Linked DNA regions of Macaca mulatta. The protein of the gene in region 1 interacts with the protein of each later gene in a pairwise test. Links are inferred from orthologs where the notes say so. Each region holds a gene or a part of one and is shown in the gene's direction. Other genes may lie near its edges.

Region 1 (3,500 bases):
GTCTCAGTATGTTGGTCAGGCTGGTCTTGAATCCTTGGCCTTAAGTGATCCTTCTGGTTCTGTCTCCCAAAATGTTGGGATTATAGGTGTGAGCCACTGTGCCTGGCTTCTTAACCATTTTAAAGTGTACACTCCAGTAGTGTTAAGTATAGTCAAATTGTTGTGTAAACAAATTTTTAGAAGTTTTTCATCTTGCAAAACTGAAACTATACCTTTTGAATAGCGACTACCCATTTTCCCTTCCCTTCAGCCCCTGGCAACCACAGTTCTACTTTCTATGATACCTCATGTAAGGGAAATTATACTGTATTTGTGACTGGTTTATTTTACTTAGCATAATGTCCTCAAGGTTAATCCATGTGTAGTATGTGACAAAATTTCCTTCTTTAAGGCTGAATAATATTCCATTGTATGTATTCATTTTCTTTATCTGTTCATCTGTGGGTGGACATCGAGTTGCTCCCATCTCTTGCTATTGCAAATGATGCTGCTGTGAACATGGGTGTGCAAATACCTCTTTGAGATCCTGTTTTGAATTCTTTTGGATACATGCCCAAAAGGGGGATGACTTTGTTCCTTTTTTAACATAAGCAAATATTCTGTAGGTTAAATTGCATAATCGGAAAAGATAACATTAATTTTGGGTTAAAAACTTGATATTGGCTGGGTGTGATGGCTCACGCCTGTAATCCCAGAACTTTGGGAGACTGAGGCTGGCAGATCATTTGAGGTTAGGAGTTCGAGACCAGCCTGACCAACATAGTGAAACCCTGTCTCTACTAAAAATAGAAAAAAAATTAGCCAGGTGTGGTGGTGTGCCCCTGTAATCCCAGTTACTTGGGAGGCTGAGGCAAGAGAATCTCTTCAACCCAGGAGGTGGAGGTTGCAGTGAGCCGAGATTGTGTCACTGCACTGTAGCCTGGGCGACAGAGCAAGAAGAATGACAAATATTTAAACCACTCCGAATACTTTTCTAAAACTAAATATTTCATAGTAATAATAGTTAATGCCAACTCATTTAAAATTACAAAAATGCACTTAGTTGATTTTGCAATAACCCCAAAACTACAGCATTTGAAAATAAAAGCAAATGAGTTGGGAAGAATATTTACTTTTGTGTGAATTGTACTGTGGACTCTGCACTGTTACTTTTTGCATACGAGCATAAGTAATTTCTCTCAGATTGTAACATTTTTAAATTCTAAAAGATCATTTAGACAGTAGTTTTGCCATTTTTATTCCCCCTAGAAATAAAGTTGTTAATAATTAAATAGGAAATTCGTTTTTGAGAAATAGTAATTTAGGAAGAAGATCTTTATGACATTTTAGATGTCACTTTTCTTGATATATTTGCTCCCTCTAGTGAATATTCCTGCCCTTGTTTGGAATATTTTACAGATTTAAGGCAAGAACTAGCAGTTCGGGAAAGACAACAGGAAGTAACTAGAAAGTCGGCTCCTAGCTCTCCAACTCTGGACTGTGAAAAGATGGACTCCGCCGTCCAAGCATCACTCTCTTTGCCAGCTACCCCCGTTGGCAAAGGAACGGAGAACACTTTTCCATCACCGAAAGGTTTGTAATGTCTTTTCTTTTTGAGGCCATGTGTTAGATGATCAGCTTAAGGGGGTTTGTTGCTGAAGGCGGTTGCTAAGGTTTAAAGAGTAATTTTAGTTTAAAAGTTGGTGAAGTCTAGTGCTATGTGAAACAGAAGAAGGAATTGTTTTCCTAGGCCACTCATACATAGGAAACAGTGAAATGATGGCTACATTTAAGATGAGATTTTTAAAAGTTAAAGGTTTTTAGGGAAAATTTATTTTTTGATGATAGCAATAGATTTTGTGATTATAGCAGTACGTTTAGGTAGAAAATTTTAAAAACACAGAAAAAAAAAATAAAAATCATGTTATCTTACCACTTACAGGCATCCACCATTAACATTTTGAGTTTTTTTTCCTATTGTGTGCTTGTGTGTGTTTGTGCACATCTCTTTGTCACATACAGATTTGGGGATCATATTTAAATACAGTTTTATTTCTTCCTTTTGCCACTTTCCATGTCCTGAGAGACCTGAGGCCTTTCTACATAGAATGTACAGAGAATCATTAAGTTGCCTTTCAGACTCATGTAAGACCAGCTTGGGTAGACATGCCCATTCTGTTACATGCTTCAGGAGCTGCCATTTTCAAAAGCATCATTCGGAGTAATTGATGATTTGCACATACAGAATACTCACATTGCCATCGCCAGTGCGTTTTTTTAAATTCAGATAAGCAGAAAAACCATCTAGTAGCCACTAGATAGAACCTTACAATAGAATCCTAAAGCTCTCAATTGAGATTTGTTTAGATTTTGCAGCTCGCAGTTCATATTTCGGCTACTCTCATCCCCCCATGCTTTTTTTTTTTCCACCCTATATTGAAGCTGTCATCCCACCCTTTTTAAAATATGGGATTTTATCTTTCAGAATGCTGTGTGGGCAACTAGTACAGTGAGCTCTGTATGTCTGTGCTACTCAGTATATTATCACCAGCCCATGTGGCTATTTAAATGTATATTAAAATGAAATAAAATATAAAATTAAGTTTCTTGGTCACATTAACCACATTTCATGTGCTCAGTAGCCCTTGAGTAGATAATTCAACTTGTCTTTGCCTTGTTACGAGATGATATCAGATAAAGTATGTGCAGGTGCTATATGGTCATAAGGTGTTACTGATTGCACCAGTATGTGCCAGGTTTACTGCTGAGGACAAAGGGCAGGCAGTAGATTATTAGCAGTCACCAGGAGCCCTCATGGTCAGTTTTTCAGACTAGCCACTTGTGTATTCGAAGATTTCCCAATTACATCTGAGGACTAACAGTTTTAGTTTTATATTACTGATTAGAATTATGCAGATCTGAAAATCCTTTAGTTGAAGACTCATCAGAATAGTGAAAAGCCTCAGTTGAGGTGACACCCACAGGTGGTGCACATTTTTTTTAATAGCCCGTTAAGAATTTTCGTTCAGGGACTTGGGGAGTCAACAGGACATGGAGCCTGCTCTGACACAGCATGAGATGTGCCAACTGTATGGCAGTAGTATTTGCTTAATAGATATGTTTTTAGTCTGGAACCAATAGCATGAATTTTCACAGGCTAACCTAAAAGCTGCTGTGTACTAGATCACTGCAATTTCATTACAAGAAAGCACGGAATTGGTAGGGCGCAGTGGCTCACGCCTATAATTCCAGCACTTTGGGAGGCTGAGGTGGACGGATCACTAGGTCAGGAGATCGAGACCATCCTGGCTAACACGGTGAAACCCCGTCTCTACTAAAAATACAAAACATTAGCCGGCCGTGGTGGCGGGTGTTTGTAGTCCCAGCTGCTCGGGAGGCTGAGGCAGGAGAATGGCGTGAACCTGGGAGGCGGAGCTTGCAATGAGCCAAGATTGCGCCACTGCACTCCAGCCTGGGCAACAGAGCAAGACTCTGTCTCAAAAAAAAAAAGCACAGAATTG
Region 2 (4,156 bases), on another chromosome or scaffold:
CAGTCCTTTGGTTTCCTCTTCACTCCCTGGACGCTCATGTAAAAACGGAGGCCATACACCTGTGCCTTGTGTGTCTAAGCATTCGGTGTGTGTCTAAAGGCAGAAGGGTGTGGGTAGGAAAATGGAGAGGAGGGAAGCTGCGTTCGCCAAACACTCCAGATTTGAGTAAGTGGGGTTTTGCAGCAATTGAGTGATTTGAGAGAAAGTGAACATACAAACCCAAGCAATCAAAGGGAAGATTATCTTACTTAATACCAGGGATACATGTTTTTCTTTCTGCCTCTTAAGTCCAAAGAGGAAAATCAGGACAAGTGGCTTTGGTTGTAAACTTTAAGGTCGAGGATCCTTTCTGTTGAGCTTAGCTCTCAAGTTCTCAGTAGTCAACTGCGGTGAAACATAATTAATAGCACGATAAATACAAGTTGTGGAAGATTCGATTGAAATTGGAGGCCTTCTCTGTGGATCTCTCTATAAAGAACCTGCAATAAAGAGAACTTAATCAACGTTAAAAGGGCTATTAAAAAAGCATCGTCTATTAAAATTCATTTCTTCTCTAGAGCCTCTTGCTGGAGTTTCTCTGTGTGGGTGTGTTCGTAAGAGAGGAATGGGTGAGCAAGAGTACAGGGTACAATTCGTGTATCTTCAAGAGAAAACAGAAGCTCTCAATGAGGAAGAACATATGTTTCTGGGACTGCATCTGTGCAAAAAGTACATAGTCCTGAAGTTGTACTAAGAAAAAAACACTCTTTAGAAAGTCTTTTATTTCACACATGTCATCTTCTTGGCACATTTCCCTCATATTGCCCTTTCCGCCTGACCAAATAGCCCTTTCTCACCCTTGGGTCCAGGAAAACCAGGAAACGTTTCCAACAGTCCGACAAAGCCTGACTAACCAAACATACTACTCGCTCGGGGATCCCGCAGGCAAGCCTCAGTCTAAGAACAGGAGTGACTCTCCAGGGCGCACCTGCCTGCAGGGCAGCCCCTCCCTGCATCAAGCGGAAATCCATCCTGTCCAGCGCGGGGCGTGGGCAGAGCGGGGCGCGGCCCCGGCAGGGCAGGCGATATCCGCTGGAACTCCGACAACGTGCGCGACCCCGGGCGAACCGCACCTCTCTCCCCACCTCCCCGCGGGCGGGTACAAGTCACCAGGTGTCCGCGCGCGCGGCAGGGCCCGCCCCCGCTCCCCGGGCCCGACTGCGCGTGCCCGGCCGGAGCCGCGCCCCCTCCCCAGGGAAGGCCGGGCGTCCAGCCCACGAGGCCGAGCTCCCCCCGGCCCGGGCCTCTCACCGGCGCTGGGGGCGGGCCAGGGGCGGGGCCGGACCCGAGCGGGGCGGGGCTCGCGCCAGCGCCCCCAGCTCCGTGGCTGCTTCGCCCGCGAGTCCCAAGGCAGGCGAGCGGCTCGGTCGCCCCCACCGGCCCCATGGCAGCCCCCGGCGCCCCAGCTGAGTACGGCTACATCCGGACCGTCCTGGGCCAGCAGATCCTGGGACAACTGGACAGCTCCAGCCTGGCGCTGCCTTCCGAGGCCAAGCTGAAGCTGGCGGGGAGCAGCGGCCGCGGCGGCCAGACAGTCAAGAGCCTGCGGATCCAGGAGCAGGTGCAGCAGACCCTCGCCCGGAAGGGCCGCAGCTCCGTGGGCAACGGTGAGTGGAGCCCGCCGCTCCCCGGCGCCGCCCCCTGCCCCGCACCCCGTCGCCTCTTCCTATCCCGCCCTCACCCCGCGTGCTGGGAGTGCGGGACCCCATGTTGTGCCCACCTGTTGCTCGCCGTCCTCGGTGTGACCGACTTGCTTGTGGAAAGCACTCTTTTCCATAACCTATTACTCAGCTTCGTCATATAGATACCTATGTATATTAAATATTGCACATATCTATCAGTGTTAAAGACCTCACTTCAAGATATCACCCCTTTCTTTTTCTACTCCGCCCGTCCGCACCCCTCGGTGGTGCGGACTTAATTTGGAGGTTCAGGGAGTCTATAAACACCTTGAGATGCTATGCAGAATTTTGGTGTGTACGATCTTTTTCTGGGAGAAGGAGCCCTTCACTTTTATTAGATTTGTTAAATAGTTCATGACCTCCATAAATATCTTGGAAAAAAAAAAAAAACCCGACAGCACTGGCGCTCCTACAACCTATAAATTGGGATTGTGTTGTCTTGTGCTAGTACTTCGGGACGCTCCACCCTCTTAGGAGGCGAGTTGTAGATCTAGGGAGTGAAGAAAGTGGCTAGGAGGCTTTGGTCCAGGGAACAAACACGCCGAGGGGGAGGTAGGGGACTTTGGCCCTGCCGGCAACAGCCCTGCCCGCCTAGCTGCGCTTCCCACCCCCACCAATGCGGGTGTGGTGCAAGGCTGATCCCTCCAAAAAATTAAACCCGGAGGTGAAAAGGGTGTAAGCACACACACGCACACTATGTTCGTGATTGATAGACGGGGGAGGTGAAGGGAAAGAAGATGGCAAGCCACTTGTAAAAATTAGAGATCATGATGTATCCTTTTCTCCCCTGCTGAAGTCAGGTGATCGGATCAACTCAGTAACCCTTGTTTTACTTGTTGTGTGTGTGAGTTTGCATTATAAAAGCACTATGTTGGCTTATTATAGCAAAAAGGAGAGGAAAGAAATTGAGCAATTAAGTTGGAATATCTGTTTCCTGCAACGTGCAATTGTTTCTGTATGAAGTAAACTTGGGCATTGGCGAATGTAGGCTAACCCATTCTAATTTCTGCTAGGAAAATAGAAAAATTCTAACAGGCCAGACCACAGGTTTCAAACAGCAGAGTCTGGGAGGCTGTACTGTTCGTGTAAAAGAATCCGAAAGGATCAGGTAGTCAATGTTAACATACTTGAAAGGTAAAGAGAAGATGTTCAATGATCATAGTTAATATAACTGAGGGCCTAGTATGTGCCAAGAATTGGGCAATGTGGTTTGCATTCATTTGAGATATATATATATTTAAAAACTTGTGAGCTAGTATTTGAATCCTCATTTTACAGATGAGGAAACTAAGCAGTTAAGTAACACTGAGGCTTTCATAGATGGTAAGTGGCAGAGCTGGTATTTAAACTCCCAAACCTGATTTTTAAACTTATCAGTTTTATCATTAAGTTTTAAAATGATTAATACAAAGTGGGATTTGTTAGATGCTAAGCCTCTCCATGGCCCCCTCTCATTTTCTTTAAATAAAATTGAGGAATTTCTGAAAGGCTGGGGAGGTCTAGAAAACACAGAACTGCTGCAATACATGGAGGGAAAGACCTTATATTTAGACTTAGGAGTCTGACTAAAGATTCCAGGATGAGTGAGGCCAGTCTTTGATGAGTGGAGCCATCACACCCATTCATTCTCTGTGCCCATAGGTCCAGTGCTAAACTGAAATCAAATCAGCTTCCTCTGCGTGGGGGACACAGGAGGCATATTAGATGTTCTTTCTTATCCATGAGAATGGCCAGCCAGGAAGAGAACAAGCAGATACAACTCTTCCATAAATGGAGCCATGAACAGAAGAAAAGGGAATGTTGCTGAGCATCTACTATGTGCCTATTCCAGAATCTTCACCGTATTCTTGAAACAATTGTGTGAGACAGATACGAGAATCCATCTCACATATGAACTATGTGTCTGTCAGCATTGGTTGGAAATTTAATCCCAACTCCACACACAATCTGTTCTCTCTACAATGTAATGCATCACCTGTGTGGTGAATTCAGCAAGCATCAAATGAGTATGTTATTCATGCTGGGCACTGTGCAGGTGCTGAATTAAACACAAAGACTCTGCTTGCTTTAAAGCAAAAAGTTTAAAGAAGGAAGTCAACTGCTAGAAAAATACATTACCAAATAAAAAGTAGTAAGTGACCTAAAAGAATGGCTAATATATTAATGGAGTTTAGAAGTGTAAATTGGCCGAGCATGGTGGCTCATGCCTGTAATCCCAGCACTTTGGGAAGCCGAGGCGGGAGGATCACCTGAGGTCGGGAGTTTGAGACCAGCCTGACCAACATGGTAAAACCCCATCTCCACCAAAAATACAAAAAATTAGCCGGGCTTGGTGGGGGATGCCTGTAATCCCAGCTACTCGGAAGGCTGAGTCAGGAGAATCGCTTGAACCGGAGAGGTAGAGGTTGCAGTGAGTGGAGATCGCGCCATTGCAC
Region 3 (3,500 bases), on another chromosome or scaffold:
CATTTGACTTACTCAAATTTTATTATTAGCATATGGCAGATCAGCCACTGGCTGGATTTTATTTATTTATTTATTTTTGAGACGGAGTCTCGCTCTGTTGCCCAGGCTGGAGTGCAGTGGCATGATCATGGCTCACTGCAGCCTTGGTCTCCTGGGCTCAAGTGATTCTCCCACCTCAGCCTCTTGAGTAGTTGGGACCACATGCATGCGCCATCATGCTCAACTAATTTTTTAATTTTTTGTAGAGACGGTCCCACTATGTTGCCCAGGCTGATCTCAAACTCCTACCGTCAAGGGATCCTTCCGCCTCGGCCTCCCAAAGTTCTAGGATTACAGGTGTGAGCCACCTCGCCCACCTGAATTTGTGTTGTTTATTGAAATAGGAAACAGCTTCTGTAACTCATCTCTTTTGAATCAAGACAGAATTGTTTCAGATATAAAATGGGGTCACATTTTTCAGTCTTTCACTGATCTGATAGATACTCACCTGCAGGGACAGATCCAAGTTTTGCAAGTCCTAAAATATATAATTTGTGTGTGTGCAGGGGGGCTTCTTGAAGAATAAGATTACAAAATTTTGAATATAATAATTAGGAATAGGCCAGGCATGGTGGGTCACGCCTGTAATCCCAGCACTTTGGGAGGCCAAGGCGGGTGGATTGCTTGAGCTCACGGGTTTGAGACCAGCCTGGGCAATATGGCGAAACCTTTGTCTTTACCAAAAATACAAAAATTAGCCGGGTGTGGTGGCGCATGCCTCTAATCCCAGCTACTTGGGAGGCTAAGACATGAGAATAGCTTGAACCCTGGATTCAGTGAGCCAAAATTGGGCCACTGCACTCCAGCCTGGGTGACAAAGTGAGACTCTGTCTCCAAATATAATAATAATAATAATTGTAATAATAATTATATTATTATTTGGTATAGGACCTTGGGAGAGGCAATGTATGCGGGGTCCTACAGCTGGAGCTTTCTTAGCTTCATGGTAAATCTGCCTCCCCATTCCACCTACTTATATTCTAATGAAAACCGCCTGGGTCAGGAGCTGAAATGAATGAGGACATCTCTCTGCAAATGTGTTTTCCTTCTTGTTCTATACAGGTTGCTTTAGGGAGTAAAAATGCAGAATCAGTAAAACAAACAAAAATCAAACAAACTCAAGTGAGTGCTCCAAATGGATTCCAAATAATTCATTATAATACTCATTTCTAAGCCGCGATGATTCTACACTGCTTTTAGATCATTTTCTCCCTGGTAAAATTGAGTTTGAGCAGCTCCAGTTTGAAATGTGTTGTGTCTCTTTTGAAAGAAAGGTTTTTAGATTTTCTTCTGGGGCCAAGGCACCTTGAAGCAGAGCAGTCAGGTGTCCAGAGAGCTGAAAGAGCCAGAGCATGGACCTGATGAAAGGAACTAGTCCCAGGGTGAGCAATGGGAAGTATCTAAGGAGCAAAAATTACCGATGAAATTTCTTGAGGAAGCTGAGTTGTGATTTTAACTAGGGGTGAGCTTAACTCTGCACTAAGTCATCTGAAGGAGAGTTAAGTTTCGTTCTGCCTTTGCGGTTATTTAGGCCTTATTGCTCAACGGATCCTTACCTGAAGATGAACAGGAGAGGCCCTTGGCCTTCTGTGAACCAGGTGTCAATCCCGAGGAACAACTGGTGAGCTCCATCTTTTGTGACTGGACGCTAAATTTGTATGTATTTGACTTGTGTTTAGCATTTGACACTGCTGTTCGTGTCTTCTTGAAATGCTGTCTTCCTTGACCAGTTCTGGTTTTCCTCCTACATTTTTGAACATTGTTTCCTTCTTCATTCATTTAATAAAAAAAATATTTATTGAGTGCTGACTATATGCCAGACCCTATTTCAACATGCTGGAGATATGGTAGCAACAAAACAGACCTAAGACCCGACTCTTACGGAGTTTACATTCAAGTTCTCTTTGAAGCTTCTCTTTTTCTGCTTGTGCCTTTAATGTTAGTGTTCCTCAGCATTCCAGTCTAGGCCCTCATGTGTCTTAAACATTCACCTGGGCAGTAGTATCTGCCTCCAGTTCTTCACTCACTTCCGTCTTGCTTCTCATGTATTTATTTCCAGCTCGGCCCTCACTATGGAGTTCTAGATGTGTGTATGCAATATGCAACTGCCTACTTATTATCTCCACTTGTAAGTCCCATAAGCATCTCAATTTCAGTGAGTCCTAAATTAAAGTTTTTCTGTCCTCTGCCCAACCACCAAAGCTACTTGTCCTTTTGGATATCTGTTTTGGATACCTAAATGCACCAAATAGAAATCTGGATATTATCGTTTAATCCTTTTCCTCTACATCAGTCAGTCACCAGGTTTTACCAGTTTACATTTCTAATTTCTTTATCCAGTTTTCTCCATTCTCACAGCCACTTAAAAATCAAGCCTCCATCCAGTATTCTAGCAACCTTCTAACTGGTTTACCTGATTCCTCTCCTGTCTTCCTCTAATTCATTTTTTGTAAAACAGCAAGAATAATTTGCTTTAAAGACAGACTTCATTTTGTCACCCTTCTGCATAAAACTTTTCATTGATTCCCCATTGCCCTCACTGGCCTTTCATGATCTGGCCCTGATATTTCTCTCCAACTTCATCTCTTGCCATTTCTTCTTCCTTTTACCCCACCCCCTCCCCTGCATCCAACCCCCACCCCATACTTCCTCTTTTTTTTTTTTTTTTTTTTTGAGACAGTCTTGCTCTGTTGCCCAGGCTGGAGTGCAGTGGCACGATCTTGGCTCACTGCAACCTCTACCTCCTGGGTTCAAGTGATTCTCCTGCCTCGGCCTCCCGAGTAGCTGGGATTACAGGTGTATACCACCACACCTGGCTAATTTTTGTATTTCTAGTAGAGGTGGGGTTTCACCATGTTGGCCAGGCTGGTCTTGAACACCTAACCTCAAGTGATCTGCCTGCCTCGGCCTCCCAAAGTGCTGGGATTACAGATGTGAGCCACCACACCTGGCCCACCCATACTTATTTTAAGCTTTATCCACATAGATCTACCTGCTACTTGATGCATATGCTTCCATCAGAGAACAGGAACTGTTTCCGGTTCTTCTTTGTATCCACAGTACAGAGCTGGCATCTAGTAGTGCTCAATAAATATTTGTTGAATGAGTGGCCTCTGAACTTCACGGCATAGGTGTTTAGCTATCTCTTTTTGTCTTATATTCAGATTATAATCCAAAGTCGTCTGGATCAGAGTATGGAGGAGAATCAGGACTTAAAGGTATGTCAAGACATATATATTTTACCCCTTAAAAACATTATGGGGGCCGGGCACGGTGGCTCACGCCTGTAATCCCAGCACTTCAGGAGGCTGCGGTGGGCAGATCACAAGGTCGGGAGATCAAGACCATCTTGGCTAACATGGCAAAACCCTGTCTCTACTAAAAATACAAAAAATCAGCCGGGCGTGCTGGCACACATCTGTAGTCCCAGCTACTCGGGAGGCTGAGGCAGGAGAATTGCT
Region 4 (3,500 bases), on another chromosome or scaffold:
TGAATTAACTACTGAGATCAAAGAACTAAAAGAGGCTCTTGAAGAAAAAACCAAGGAGGCAGACGAATACTTGGATAAGTACTGTTCCTTGCTTATAAGCCACGAAAAGTTAGAGAAAGCTAAAGAGATGTTAGAGACACAAGTGGCCCATCTCTGTTCACAGCAATCTAAACCAGATTCCCGAGGGTCTCCTTTGCTAGATCCAGTTGTTCCAGGACCATCTCCAATCCTTTCTGCTGCTGAAAAGAGGTTATCATCTGGCCAGAAAAAAGCTTCAGGCAAGAGGCAAAGGTCCAGTGGGATATGGGAGAATGGTAGAGGACCAACACCTTCTACTCCAGAGACCTTTTCTAAAAAAAGCAAGAAAGCAGTCATGAGTGGTATTCACCCTGCAGAAGACACAGAAGGTACTCAGTTTGAGCCAGAGGGACTTCCCGAAGTTGTAAAGAAAGGTATGCCTAATTTTAAAACAAAATTATTTGTGTTCTTTTGAAATTCCATGTAATGGTTCACATATAAAAAGACAAAAGTATTTGCTTTTTTACATTATTGTGCAATAATCTCATTGATGTTCATAAACAATAGTCTGCTTTTAAATGGATGAGGCATATATTTTCCTCGGGGATCTCATTATTTGTGTCATATTAACAAAAGAGCTGGTAGATTGGTAAAATGACTGTCTAAAATCTCTTTAGAATTTGTTATTTGAATGCTGAAAAAAATGGTTAAATCAAGGACGCCCTTCAGGGTTTCCTACCCTTTGGTCATGTCTGACCTAGCTAGCAGGTGAGCTGGAGGGTCCACCCTGTGGTGCTGGCCTCCTGGCTGGAGCCACTGACTACACGTTGTTTTGTTTTTTTAAACTTGGTTTTCTCCCAAGTCTGGCCCAAGGACTGGTGCCAGTCTAGGAACTGTTTGTTATTGGTTCCTGATTGAAACAATGTATTGTAATTAAGTAGGACTTTAGAAATTTTCATAGCAACTTGATATTTTTGTAACATCCAAGCACATATCATTTTTTCTATTGATTTGTTCTCATTATATTATACAAAAATATTATTCCACAGCAGATTGGAAATTCTTTGACCCCCTTCCGCCCCCAAATATCTAAACTGATTCTGTGCCATAGATGGTTTGAAAAGCATTGTTCTGAGTAACTCTAGCCCCAAAATAGTTATCTATCTTTCACTGGTAATTTTTATATGTAGTGTGTGAAAAACAAAAACAAATGCTGCTTTAGTTAGCCCTGAATGCAGTTCTGGAGTGTGTGTTGATACATTAACTCTTAGTATCCCTGGGATTGACTTTCTTTCCTGGGTCATCAAAAGTCATGTCACTTTCTTTTGTGGAAAGAGACAACCCGAGTGAGGGTGAAGTCACCTTTAGGAAGGTCAGTTTCTCTCCTCCCACCTACATTAGAGTGCTCGCCTGAAGTAGCTGTTACCATTTTACATTTTCCCCCTTTAAACAAGCACTTGCCTTTCTTTTATATATATATTTTATTTTTGCATTGTACTCTCCTTTTTCCCCCAACCCAATTTTACGATAAGGCCTGCTGGCATTCTTTAGATCTTAGAAAAATGCAAAGGAAAACATCCATGTAGAAGATAGAAGCAGAAAAAACTTTTTCTGTGTAGTATTATTTTCCCCTTCTTTTCCCATTGTTATTTTCTATGTTTCTAATAAGAAAAAACCTGTTTGTTACTTGATTCAATTTGGTGACTCCCAGAGCAACTGTGAAGTGTAATCCATTGACCAAAGTGGCTAGGACAAAGTATTTTTTGGAGTTTACATTATCCTTGTTAAAACCACCTAATGAATATCTTTTCCATTGTAGATAGAATTGGACCTAGCAGTGCTGACAGTTAGCTTTTTTGCCCTTAGGGTTTGCTGACATCCCGACAGGAAAGACTAGCCCATATATCCTGCGGAGAACAACCATGGCAACCCGGACCAGCCCCCGCCTGGCTGCACAGAAGTTAGCGCTATCCCCACTGAGTCTCGGCAAAGAAAATCTTGCAGAGTCCTCCAAACCAACAGCTGGTGGCAGCAGATCACAAAAGGTAAACTACCGTCAACATCCATCTACTGTTTGAGATCCAGAAAATTGCAGTATTACCTGGGTGAGGATTGGACACTGCACCCCCTGATTCAGGAGCCCTTTCAAAAAGTCTGACCTTCTTGGTGTGGTGTCAGTCAGTCAGTAGTGAGCAAGTGACCGGGTGAGCATTACAGTATCAGGGTACATGATCTCATGCTTGAGTCAACAGGCCATTTATACGTAGTTTGACGGAAAATGGCATTGTTACATTAAAAACTCGGTGGATTTCTAAGAAAGTTTCAGGTGTTACTGATGAAGGATTTGAAGAGGTAATTTTCCTTTTTGCCACTGGTATTAGTTTCAAACTTTACTCTCACTTACCTGCCTCCAGCTGCGAATTTTTTATTGTTTTTATTAATCCTTTACTTTCTTTTAAAAAAGGAAGCACATATTTCAATAGATATCTAACGAAAGGAACTCTGTTTATGGATTTCTTTCTCTATTTTGATTGTTGAGGATCAAAAGGATCTTAGTGACCTCTGTGCACCCTACAACGTCCCAGAAGATGTTATGTAGAGCATAGAGAATATTTGCTTAACAGATCTTTATTCCTGTTACTGTGATCCATACCAGCAGCTACCATTTAAGTATGCATAGTATATGCATTTTATTTATCTTTCTCATTTTATTGAAGTCTCACAGTAAGTGGTATTATAAAAGAGTGAAAATCGTGAGACTCATAAAGATTTAACCTCCCAGTGTGAACCCCTGCTTCCTCTTCCTCTCACCTCCACAGTCTTGATCTTTCTACGATACCAGTGTTTGTCAGACTGGGGACTAGGGGAATATTTTTGGAAGTTGCTGGAATAACTTCAAAGAGTTTGAACAGTCTGTGATTTTACCTTGATTGCTCACTTGTCAGAGTTTGATCAAGTATGCGATCTGATAACCTTGAACCAGAAAACAAAGCTTTGAAAGTGTAATAACCCCTATTTGTGTAATGTGATAATTCATAAGTGAGCAAACACGTTCTTAGGATTTGGGATACCAAATGTGAACACATTGGTGGTTACATGTGGGCGATCTAAAGAGTACAATATATTTAGATTTCTTAATCTGAACATCACAACAACAGGTTTGCAAATTTGTTTTTGTTGATGTATAAGAGCTATAAGCATTAAGGAGTTATACTTAGTAATGAATAATATACATTATGATTATAATAAATACATTATAATAAAATTTTTATTCAAGTATGAAGAAGAATGATCTGAGATTTTCTTTCACTGAAGTGGACCCATTTGTTACTCTTATTAGAAATATTCTACCATTTTGTGCAATTTTTTCTCCCCTCCCCTACCAAATTCTCTCTCTCACTCACATTTGGATTTAACTTTTGCATGCTGCCAACAACAAAATACTGAAGTATATACTGGAGAATATATATTTAATATACTGA
Region 5 (2,272 bases), on another chromosome or scaffold:
ATCTGGGTCTGGATGGCTCCATATACCATGTTCTCAATCACAGTTCTCAAGGTTGGAAAAGTTGCCCAGAAGGCAAAGGATTCAAAAAGGGATCAAGAGCCGGGCACGGTGGCTCATGCCGGTAATCCCAGCACTTTGGGAGGCCCAGGCGGGTGGATCACTTGAGACCAGAAGTTACTGACCAGCCTGGCCAACATGGCAAAACTCTGTCTCTACTAAAAATACAAAAATTAGCTGGGTGAGATGGCACACACCTGTAATCCCAGCTACTTGGGGAGCTGAGACACCAGAATCGCTTGAACCTGGGAGGCGGAGGTTGCAGTGAGCCGCGATCATGCCACTACACTCCAGCCTGGGCGAAAGACTGTCTCAAAAACAAAACAAACAAATAACAACAACAAAAAAAAGGTGGCAGGGTGGGAGTGGGGCAAAGAATCAATAATGCAAAGAACAAACTTTGCCTACTTTCTGTTTTCCCCAACTAAAAACTGACAAATGAAAGTAGTTTGGCTAGACGCAGTGGCGTCCTCCAGAAATCCCAGCTATGTGAGAGGCTGAAGCAAGAGGATCACTTGAGCCCAGGAGTTCGAGGCTGCAGTGAGCTATGATTGTGCCACAGCATTCCAGCCTGGGTGACACAGTGAGACTTCATTTCTAAAATCAATATAAAATAAAATTAAGAAGTACTTTGCAAAACACACGTGGGGTTGCTTGCAGCCCCTAGGCTACGGTTAATCAGAATATTGCTGAAGTCCCTCTTGGTGAAGGCTTTCTTTACTTAGCAATCGAACCTCTTAAATGGTCGTCACAACATTTTGTTGTGAGCAATTTTTAGAGTTAATGAAGGAGAATGTTTCCTAAACAAGGTCATTCATATTTCTTCCCTGCAGTACACCATATTTGTAAATATATTTATTTTAGTTCTGAATATTACAATAACTTTAGGCTCTAACTAAATATGCATGTGTTGCACATTTAGTCTTCATGTATAACAAGAAGTATGAGAGAGCTTAGAGCTCTTACTGATTTGTATATGTGTTATTTTTCTATTTCTTCATATCAAACATATTTCCTTTGCCTTTCCCTGCCTACTTTCAGGATGGATGATGGCCGCCTCTTAGACTACCTTATGAATCATGATGAACTGATGGAGGAAAAAGTAGCTTTCTATATTCGAGACATCATGGAGGCTCTGCAGTACCTTCACAACTGCAGGGTTGCACATTTGGACATAAAGGTAATAAGAAGTGTCAACTTTGCAGGGAATACCTTAAATGGCCAAGTCCAACTTACAGTCATTACTCATAAGGAATATAAATTCAAATTCATTTTATTTACTTAGAGTAGAATATTATGACTTTTTTTTTTTTTTTTTTGAGACAACTCTGTTGCCGAGGCTGGAGTGCAGTGGTGCAATCTCGGCTCACTGCAACCTCTGCCTCCTGGGTACAAGCAATTCTTCTGCCTTAGCCTCCCGAGTAGCTGGGATTACAGGTGCCTGCCACCACACCCGGCTAATTTTTGTATTTTTAGTAGAGATGGGGTTTCATCATGTTGGCCAGGCTGGTCTTGATCTCCTGACCTCAAGTGATCCGCCCGCCTTGGCCTCCCAAAGTGCTGGGATTACAGATGTGAGCCACCACGCCCATCCCATTATGACTATTAAAGAGAATCTGGGTTGTCATACAATTTAAGTATATCATCCATGAATTAATGAGAATATACCAGAGCCACAATGACATCTGGTGTGAGAGAAAGTAGGGAAGTTCTACCTACCTAATCTAACTTCATAGAAGTAAGCCAACAAATGTCACGTTTTCTTCCATGCTGCTCAAAAAGAAGCCCCTGTTCACCAAAATGAGTAATTTATTATTTCCTTGACTCAATGCAGAAGCAATGTAGTTAAGAAGACATGATTTTCAATGTCAAACTACTTCTCTGAATTACAACCCAAACTCAAAGTGTAGTAAGCTCAGAATGATACTTTGAAGTCTCCTATGCAGTTTCCATAGTGCATAGGGAATTTTCCATACACCATAGGCTTTATCAAAGAATAGCATAATTGTGTTTGAATTAATGAGGTCTTTTGAGTAGTCAAAATAGAGGCCTGAACTTCCCTTCTTTTCTCCCTTCCTCCTTGGATCTCCGCAGCCTGAAAACCTGCTCATTGACCTACGGATTCCAGTGCCTCGAGTGAAGCTCATCGACTTGGAGGATGCTGTCCAGATTTCGGGTCACTTCCACATTCACCACCTGCTGGGGAACCCTGAGT
Region 6 (3,500 bases), about 63 Mb from region 1:
GGCTAGTTTTGTTTTGTTTTGTTTTTTTGTATTTTTAGAGATGGGGTTTCACCATGTTGCCCAGGCTGATTTCGAACTCCTGTCTTCAAGTGATTCACCCGCCTCGGCCTCCCAAAGTGCTGGGATTACAGGCGTGAGCCAGGGCTCCGGCCTGATTCAGGACTGTTGACCACTGCTTTATCTCTCATTCCCTAAGGGGCCAGGAGCAGAAGCTTGCAACGTCAGCAGCCCGATCTAAGGCACCCTCATCTCTAGCTGGAGGGAGCCTTGGGCCCTAGCCCAGTCCTCCCAGAAGCAGCTTTCTGAAGGAAGGGACCCGCTGGGAGGCCCGGGTGTGGGCATGCCTAGCCTATCTGTGGCCCCCACCAAGTCCTCTGTCCTCTGGGTCTTCCCGGAACTGCAGACAGATCTAAGACCTCGGATTTCCGCCCCTCTCCCCAGCCCATATCTCTCTGCACGAGGCATATTCTAGGCAGGTTCTGCTTTCCCGGTATCATCACTTAAAGTCCTGTCATTTCGAAGGCAGGCGCCGTCGTGTCCCCAAAGCATCCACATTTCCCAAGCTCCCTTCCGGGTCCTGAGGCCCCTGGGGTCTCAGCAGCCACTAAAATCCGCTTGTCTGGGGCGCCAGCCTCAGGTCTTAGCTCATTGGCTAACAAGAGATGATTGACAGGTCCTGAGCCAGAGAGCGAGCCCGGTCGGGCTCTCCGCCCGCCCAGCTTTGCCGGGTCTCCAGGAGCAGGTGTGGCTGGACTACTGGAATCCCAGTCTGAGGCCGTGTTCTAGTGGGCGCGCGCTTTCCTGCCCGGCTAGGCAGAATCCTGCCCGAGCCTGACACTGTGGGTGGTTTGGTGAAGTCCTGTTTTCTCTTGCCAAGACCAAGTAAGAGCTCGTTTGCCTCAGCTGCCCTCGGACCCCAACCCCTAGAAGGTGAACCTGAAAGGCACGGAAGTTGGGGCAAGGGAGGGCCTGGGACGGGTGGATTTCTCAGCCCTGGGGTTCAGGGTTAGGAGTTTGGAGGGGGAAAGGAGCAAGAGAAGGAGCCCCAGCTGGGGGATGGGGCCGATCTGCAGTGACTTTGAGCACCTTCTAATGTTCTCGGCCGCCCACCCACCAAGACCTCAGATTCCTGCTGGGCCTGCCTGGGCCCCATTAGTGGCTCAAGGCCCCGTTTCCCAATTTTCTCCCTCCTGGGCTGCCCAGACCTGCACAGAGTGGGTGCTCAATAAATGTTATTTGAGAGAATAACAGTGGTTCCATTTACTAGGCAGGGTGGCCGCAAGCCAAGCTTGAATCTCATAGCTGGAAACCCCATTTACAGAGGAAGAAACTGAGGCTCATGGGGCTGGTTTGTCCTGACTTTCTACCCATTGTTTATTGACTGATTGATGCATTGATTGCGATAAGGTCTTGCTGTGTCGCCAAGGCTGGGGTGCAGTGGTGCAATCATGGCTAACTGCAGCCTTGACCTCCCCGGTCAAGTGATCCTCCCACCTCAGCCTCCTGAGTAGTGGGATCACAGGCACACATCACCATGCCTGGCTAATTTTTTATTTTTTATAGAGATAGGGTCTCCCCTTTGTTGCCCAGTCTGTTCCTGAACTCCTGGCCTCAAGCAATCCTCCAGCCTCAGCCTTCCAAAGTGCTGAGATTACAGGCCTGAGCCACCATGCCTGGCCCACCCATTGTATTCTGAGAGCCACAGCCAGAGGAACTGTTCTGTCCTGGGTGGAATCTGCCACCACTACTTGGGTCTCTGCCCCTGGGGCTCCAGCAGCCCTGTAAGATTTTATTCTTTTAGCATTTCCAAGACCTGTGGTTGGGACCGGGATTGACCTGGGAGAGTTTGGAGAGGAGGTGACTTGGAGGCCTCGCCTGTGTTGACATCAACCCAGTGGGTTGGTGCCCAGACTGGGTGGCTCGGTCTCTGAGCAGCGGCCTCATGGGTCTCTGCAGACAGGTGGGCCAATGTGAAGGTGGAGTGTGAGCCAAGCTGGCAGCCCTTCCAGGGCCACTGCTACCGCCTGCAGGCCGAGAAGCGCAGCTGGCAGGAGTCCAAGAAGGCGTGTCTACGGGGCGGTGGTGACCTGGTCAGCATCCACAGCATGGCAGAGCTGGAATTCATCACCAAGCAGATCAAGCAAGGTGAGGAGCTGCCCGCCCATGTGTCTGGGTGGAGGGCAGGGCCTCCCACTGCCCCACCCATCCTGCCCAGGAGCCTCAGAAAATGTTCCTTCCTCCCTACTGGTGGCTGAGGCTGACCTCTCAATGTCTTCTCTCCCCTCCTCTCCTGCTGCACCCCCAGAGGTGGAGGAGCTGTGGATCGGCCTCAACGATTTGAAACTGCAGATGAATTTTGAGTGGTCTGACGGGAGCCTTGTGAGCTTCACCCACTGGCACCCCTTTGAGCCCAACAACTTCCGGGACAGTCTGGAGGACTGTGTCACCATCTGGGGCCCGGTGAGACCTCCCTCTCCCTATCACAGGGCCACAAAATACACCCCCAACCTCCAGGTGCTACCCCAGCTGAAGGATATCCTAGTTATTATCAGTACCTGCCTGGAACCTCTTGCCTCTCAGCAGTCCCCCTCCTCCCCACCAATGCCTTCCCTTCCACGTGAGAGACTGCTGGGACTTGAATCCACCTCCAGCTAGCCAAGTCACCCTGAGCAAGTTACTAGAGGGTCATTGGTGAGATTGGAGGAATTAATTCTCGGGAAACCTTAGGCGCAGTGCCTGGTGCATTCTTGGTCTCCTCCCAGCTGCCCTTCCCTGCCAGAAGGTGGCATCAGAACCCACATTATGTGCAGATACTTTGCAAGCAGGGCTGCTCTCTGCCAGCCCTCACCCCCAGTGCTCTACCCAGCCCAGGGTCCTGTCATCTCAAGAAATTGTTGGGTTATGACAATTTGCCATGGTTTGGGCTTAGATGTGGTGGAAGTGAAGGAATTGATGAAGGGCTTCAAGCAGAGAAGAAAGACCCTTTAAAAAGGGACAAAGCCAGTTGAGTGCGGTGGCTCACGCCTATAATCCCAGCACTTTGGGAGGCTGAGGCGGGTGGATCACTTGAGGTCAGGAGTTCAAGACCAGCCTGGCCAACATGGTGAAACCCCGTCTCTACTAAAAATACAAAAATTAGCCAGGCGTGGTGGCAGATGCCTGTAATCCCAGCTACTCGAGAGGCTGAGGCAAGAGAAGCGCTTGAACCTGGGAGGCAGACGCTGCAGTGAGCTGATATTACATGACTGCACTCTAGCCTGGGTGACAGAGCAAGACCCTGTCTCAAAAAAAAAAAAAGGAGAAAGCCGTAGTGACACAGACCACCCTTCCTAGGGACAGAGAGGATGTTCTGCTGTCACATACTGCAAACAATGCTGGGGACTATAGTGGCAGTCATTTGCCTTAGGGGATGCTATTTAAGAATTTTAAAACAATTACGTATTGAGTATCTACTATGTGCCAGGCATTTTTCTGGGTGCTGGGATACACAAACACGCCTG
Region 7 (3,500 bases), on another chromosome or scaffold:
CTAATTTAATATATACCTACTGTGACTTCTAATGTTTATATTTGATTTTATTCTTATTGGTCTTAGAGAAAATAGCCCTAGAAAGCATTAACACTAAATAGAAGCCTATAAGAATGACTGTATAGTTCATTGCAAGTTGGACATAATATAATTAAATTGGATCAATTGTATCAGATTAAGTATACACTTTAAAGTGAAAATGTTAATGTTTCTTAGTATAACTGTAAGTATACTATTTTGTTCAATTGCATGCTTGTTTTCCACACAAAATGCAACACTGTAGTGGTTTAGAGCTAAGTGTGCATTACCAGCATTCAAACCTCAGCAATATCCCTTGTTAGCTGTGTAACTATCAGCAAGTTACTTAACCTCTCTTGACTGGAATCACCCCATTGGGAAATGGAGATTATAATAGTACCTAAAAGAATTGTTGTGACAATTACATGATTTAAAACCTATTAGTTACGTGACTGCCTGAGGTTCAATAAGAACTATATAAATATTAGCTATTATTATATGTATGCACATTATGTAGTTAGTAGGGGGAAAAATCCTAGGTTAGTTCATTTTACATCCACTTCTTACTAACTCTTTAACAACAAGAAAAGTTACTTATCTGTGCTTTATATTTACCTCTTGAAGTTATTCAAGGTTTGAATGAATTAACACACATGGAGTGGTTAGCACAGTACTTGGACAGTAGTCAACCCTCAAAAAATGTTAGCCATAATTTTTTATTCATTATTTCATTATAAATATAAAATGGAGGTAATAATTATTATCTTATCCCTTCAAAGGACAATTGAACCACTGAACATACCTGTGAAGATAAGTAAACAATTGAATATTATTCAAAAATGTGTTTACTAATTATCTGGTAATTTACAAATTCAGTTATTCTGTTTGTGAATAATCACACATGAATAAAATTAATTAAAAATATATTTTCTTATCTGTATTATTGCCTGACCTTGGTGGCAAGTGCCAGAGCATCTGTTTGTTTTTTTCTCTATTTAAGTTGCTAAGGTATCTTGTCATATAATTTAGAAAATTATATGATATAAAATATATAAGAAAATAACATAATTCAGAAATGTGTATGTATACATATATATATATATATATATATAATTGAAATTAAACACAAGCCCTAAAAAGTATGTTACAATATTAATTATCATTATTGGATAGGTCTCTTGGTTTTAAAAATGGAAAGAATTTTTTAATGGAATGATTATATCCTAAAACTGCAATTTTCATTGAATCTTAACACTAAATATGTATTTGACCCATTCCATAATTTCTACTGTAATGTCTGAAAATTTTTAAAAACTAATGTCGTGAGGCTGGGAGCAGTGGTTCATGTCTGTAATCCCAGCACTTTGAGAGGCCAAGGCAGGCGGATCATGAGATGAGGAGATCAAGGCCATCCTGGCTAACACGGTGAAACCCCGTCTCTACTAAAAATACAAAAAATTAGCCAGGCATGGTGGCGGGCGCATGTAGTCCCAACTACTCGGGAGGCTGAGGCAGGAGAATGGCGTGAACACGGGAGGCGGAGCTTGTAGTGAGCCGAGATTGCATCACTGCACTCCAGACTGGGCGACAGAGCGAGACTCCGTCTCAAAATAATGATAATAATAATATCATGAAATGAGGACACAAGAAACACTTTCTAGGATACTAGAACCACTGATCAACAACTTGGGAAATACTGCTGTAAGCATGCTGCACTGTAATTTTTGTTCTTTTTTTTTTTTTCTTATTAGGAATCTTTCCCTGAAATTAACAAAGGACGTTGATCAAGAAGCCAGGTGTTCCCACATCAGCCGAATGCCCAACAGTCCATCTGCGGATTGGCCCCTACAAGGTGTGGAAGAAAACGGAGGCATAGATTCTTTGCCATTCAGACTGATGTTACAGGACTGCACAGCAGTCAAGACGTTATTATTAAAGATGAAGAGAGTTCTTCAAGAGGTAATGGTTTGCTCTAAGATTAATGTCCTTCAGTGCTGGTAGACAATGAAGTCAGAAGACGTGGTGAGACCCTGCTCTGTCAGTGATTAACTGCATGGCATTGTGCAGGGGTGGGGTTTCCTCTTGGACCTTAGCTAGTCTCATATGTCAAATGAATGTTTTGAAGTTCTGGTTTATAAGGTACTCTTTAGCCTTAAAATTTTAAGAGCTTACGAAATACTTAAAAAATAATAAACTAATCCCAAACATCCTCCAATTTGTCAGTTAAGGAGAAATTGATGTCAGCTATAAAGTTATGGTTACATGCTATTATAAAGCTATTGAGAGATCTATTAAATGTATTTCACATCAATGATACTGGGCTTTGTTTTTATGATACCATAAAAGTAGTTTACTTAGTCGTTTTTGTTCCAATAATAATCAGAATTCAGTAAAGTTGAATTACAGTAAAATTCAATCTGAAGGTTGGAATGATTTTGCCTAAGGAATGCAGCTACCCTCCACACAATCTGGGCCTAGTTAGTGAAAGAGTGAGCTAGTCAGGAAAATGCATCATGGGATTCTTTTACACTTGTGCCCAGAAATCAGCCATTCTTTAGGATTCAAGTTTGCTTTGGTTTAATTGTTATAATTACAACATTTGTTTTATTTGAAGGATTTCTATAAAACGTATACACACGATTATTATTGAATCGTGACATGTGAAGTGAGAGTTAATAATTTTAAATTATTTTCCTCAAGTAAGTGTAATTTCAGGGCAACAGCCTGAAATTTGTGTCTTTGTATTACATCCCATTATCTTTAAGTAGATTTACCTTTATTGATTGGAGATATTAATAAAGAATTGAGAAAAATATTATTATTTAGAATTGATAGTCTCTATGTTATAATGATTGCTACCATTTGCTTTTTGAACACTTTCATAATAATGCTAGCAGTTACCACTGGAGGCTAGAATTGAATCAGGAAGAAAGAAGGCCTTATAAGATAAATGAATGCCATAGACTATTGGGGCTTCCAGTGTGCTCTCATCAGCTGTTATAAACTGTATTAGTCTGTTCTTACACTGCTAATAAAGACATACCTGAGGCTATGTAGTTTATAAAGGAAAGACATTTAGTTGACTTACAGTTCCACATGGCTGGGGAGGCCTCACAATCACAGTGGAAGGCGATGAAGGAACAAAGTCACATTTTACATGGCGGCAGGCAACAGAGCTTGTGCCCGGAAACTCTTATTTATAAAACCATCAGATCTCATGAGACTTATTCACTACCATGAGAACTGTATTTGGGGAACCACCCCCACGATTCAATTAGCTCCACATGGCCCCCCACCTTGACACATGAGGATTATTATGATTAAAGCTGAGACTTGGGTGGGGACACAGTCAAACCATATCGTAAACAAAAACTGGAAGATATCTTCTCTGTGTCCCATACAGGTTGTATCACTAGGGCAACCTTTGTTTCTGCATTTTCTGGATCCTATAATGTGTTGTGCTGGAGTGGTATGCTTATACC

The links.
Region 2: the proteins of NDEL1 (region 1) and PKP2 interact in binary tests that used the Homo sapiens proteins (3 or more experiments, as listed by UniProt). The link is inferred for Macaca mulatta from reciprocal best matches to the Homo sapiens genes NDEL1 and PKP2.
Region 3: the proteins of NDEL1 (region 1) and DIXDC1 interact in binary tests that used the Homo sapiens proteins (3 or more experiments, as listed by UniProt). The link is inferred for Macaca mulatta from reciprocal best matches to the Homo sapiens genes NDEL1 and DIXDC1.
Region 4: the proteins of NDEL1 (region 1) and CENPF interact in binary tests that used the Homo sapiens proteins (3 or more experiments, as listed by UniProt). The link is inferred for Macaca mulatta from reciprocal best matches to the Homo sapiens genes NDEL1 and CENPF.
Region 5: the proteins of NDEL1 (region 1) and KALRN interact in a two-hybrid assay, tested with the Homo sapiens proteins (2 studies listed by BioGRID and IntAct). The link is inferred for Macaca mulatta from reciprocal best matches to the Homo sapiens genes NDEL1 and KALRN.
Region 6: the proteins of NDEL1 (region 1) and MRC2 interact in a two-hybrid assay, tested with the Homo sapiens proteins (2 studies listed by BioGRID and IntAct). The link is inferred for Macaca mulatta from reciprocal best matches to the Homo sapiens genes NDEL1 and MRC2.
Region 7: the proteins of NDEL1 (region 1) and CCSER1 interact in binary tests that used the Homo sapiens proteins (3 or more experiments, as listed by UniProt). The link is inferred for Macaca mulatta from reciprocal best matches to the Homo sapiens genes NDEL1 and CCSER1.

The regions. Positions count from the first base shown.
Region 1 is NC_133421.1:9,952,856-9,956,355, forward strand, and holds part of NDEL1 (nuclear distribution protein nudE-like 1), read left to right. Parts: intron 1-1,398; coding exon 1,399-1,572; intron 1,573-3,500. UniProt on the Homo sapiens protein: Required for organization of the cellular microtubule array and microtubule anchoring at the centrosome. May regulate microtubule organization at least in part by targeting the microtubule severing protein KATNA1 to the centrosome.
Region 2 is NC_133416.1:35,099,682-35,103,837, reverse strand, and holds the start of PKP2 (plakophilin-2), read left to right. Parts: upstream 1-1,356; 5' UTR 1,357-1,423; coding exon 1,424-1,646; intron 1,647-4,156. UniProt on the Homo sapiens protein: A component of desmosome cell-cell junctions which are required for positive regulation of cellular adhesion.
Region 3 is NC_133419.1:112,733,754-112,737,253, forward strand, and holds part of DIXDC1 (dixin), read left to right. Parts: intron 1-1,570; coding exon 1,571-1,660; intron 1,661-3,203; coding exon 3,204-3,257; intron 3,258-3,500. UniProt on the Homo sapiens protein: Positive effector of the Wnt signaling pathway; activates WNT3A signaling via DVL2. Regulates JNK activation by AXIN1 and DVL2.
Region 4 is NC_133406.1:72,355,181-72,358,680, forward strand, and holds part of CENPF (centromere protein F), read left to right. Parts: coding exon 1-452; intron 453-1,884; coding exon 1,885-2,063; intron 2,064-3,500. UniProt on the Homo sapiens protein: Required for kinetochore function and chromosome segregation in mitosis. Required for kinetochore localization of dynein, LIS1, NDE1 and NDEL1.
Region 5 is NC_133407.1:159,033,730-159,036,001, reverse strand, and holds part of KALRN (kalirin), read left to right. Parts: intron 1-1,098; coding exon 1,099-1,237; intron 1,238-2,151; coding exon 2,152-2,272. UniProt on the Homo sapiens protein: Promotes the exchange of GDP by GTP. Activates specific Rho GTPase family members, thereby inducing various signaling mechanisms that regulate neuronal shape, growth, and plasticity, through their effects on the actin cytoskeleton.
Region 6 is NC_133421.1:72,455,024-72,458,523, forward strand, and holds part of MRC2 (C-type mannose receptor 2), read left to right. Parts: intron 1-1,956; coding exon 1,957-2,145; intron 2,146-2,305; coding exon 2,306-2,460; intron 2,461-3,500. UniProt on the Homo sapiens protein: May play a role as endocytotic lectin receptor displaying calcium-dependent lectin activity. Internalizes glycosylated ligands from the extracellular space for release in an endosomal compartment via clathrin-mediated endocytosis.
Region 7 is NC_133410.1:99,938,835-99,942,334, forward strand, and holds part of CCSER1 (serine-rich coiled-coil domain-containing protein 1), read left to right. Parts: intron 1-1,769; coding exon 1,770-1,977; intron 1,978-3,500.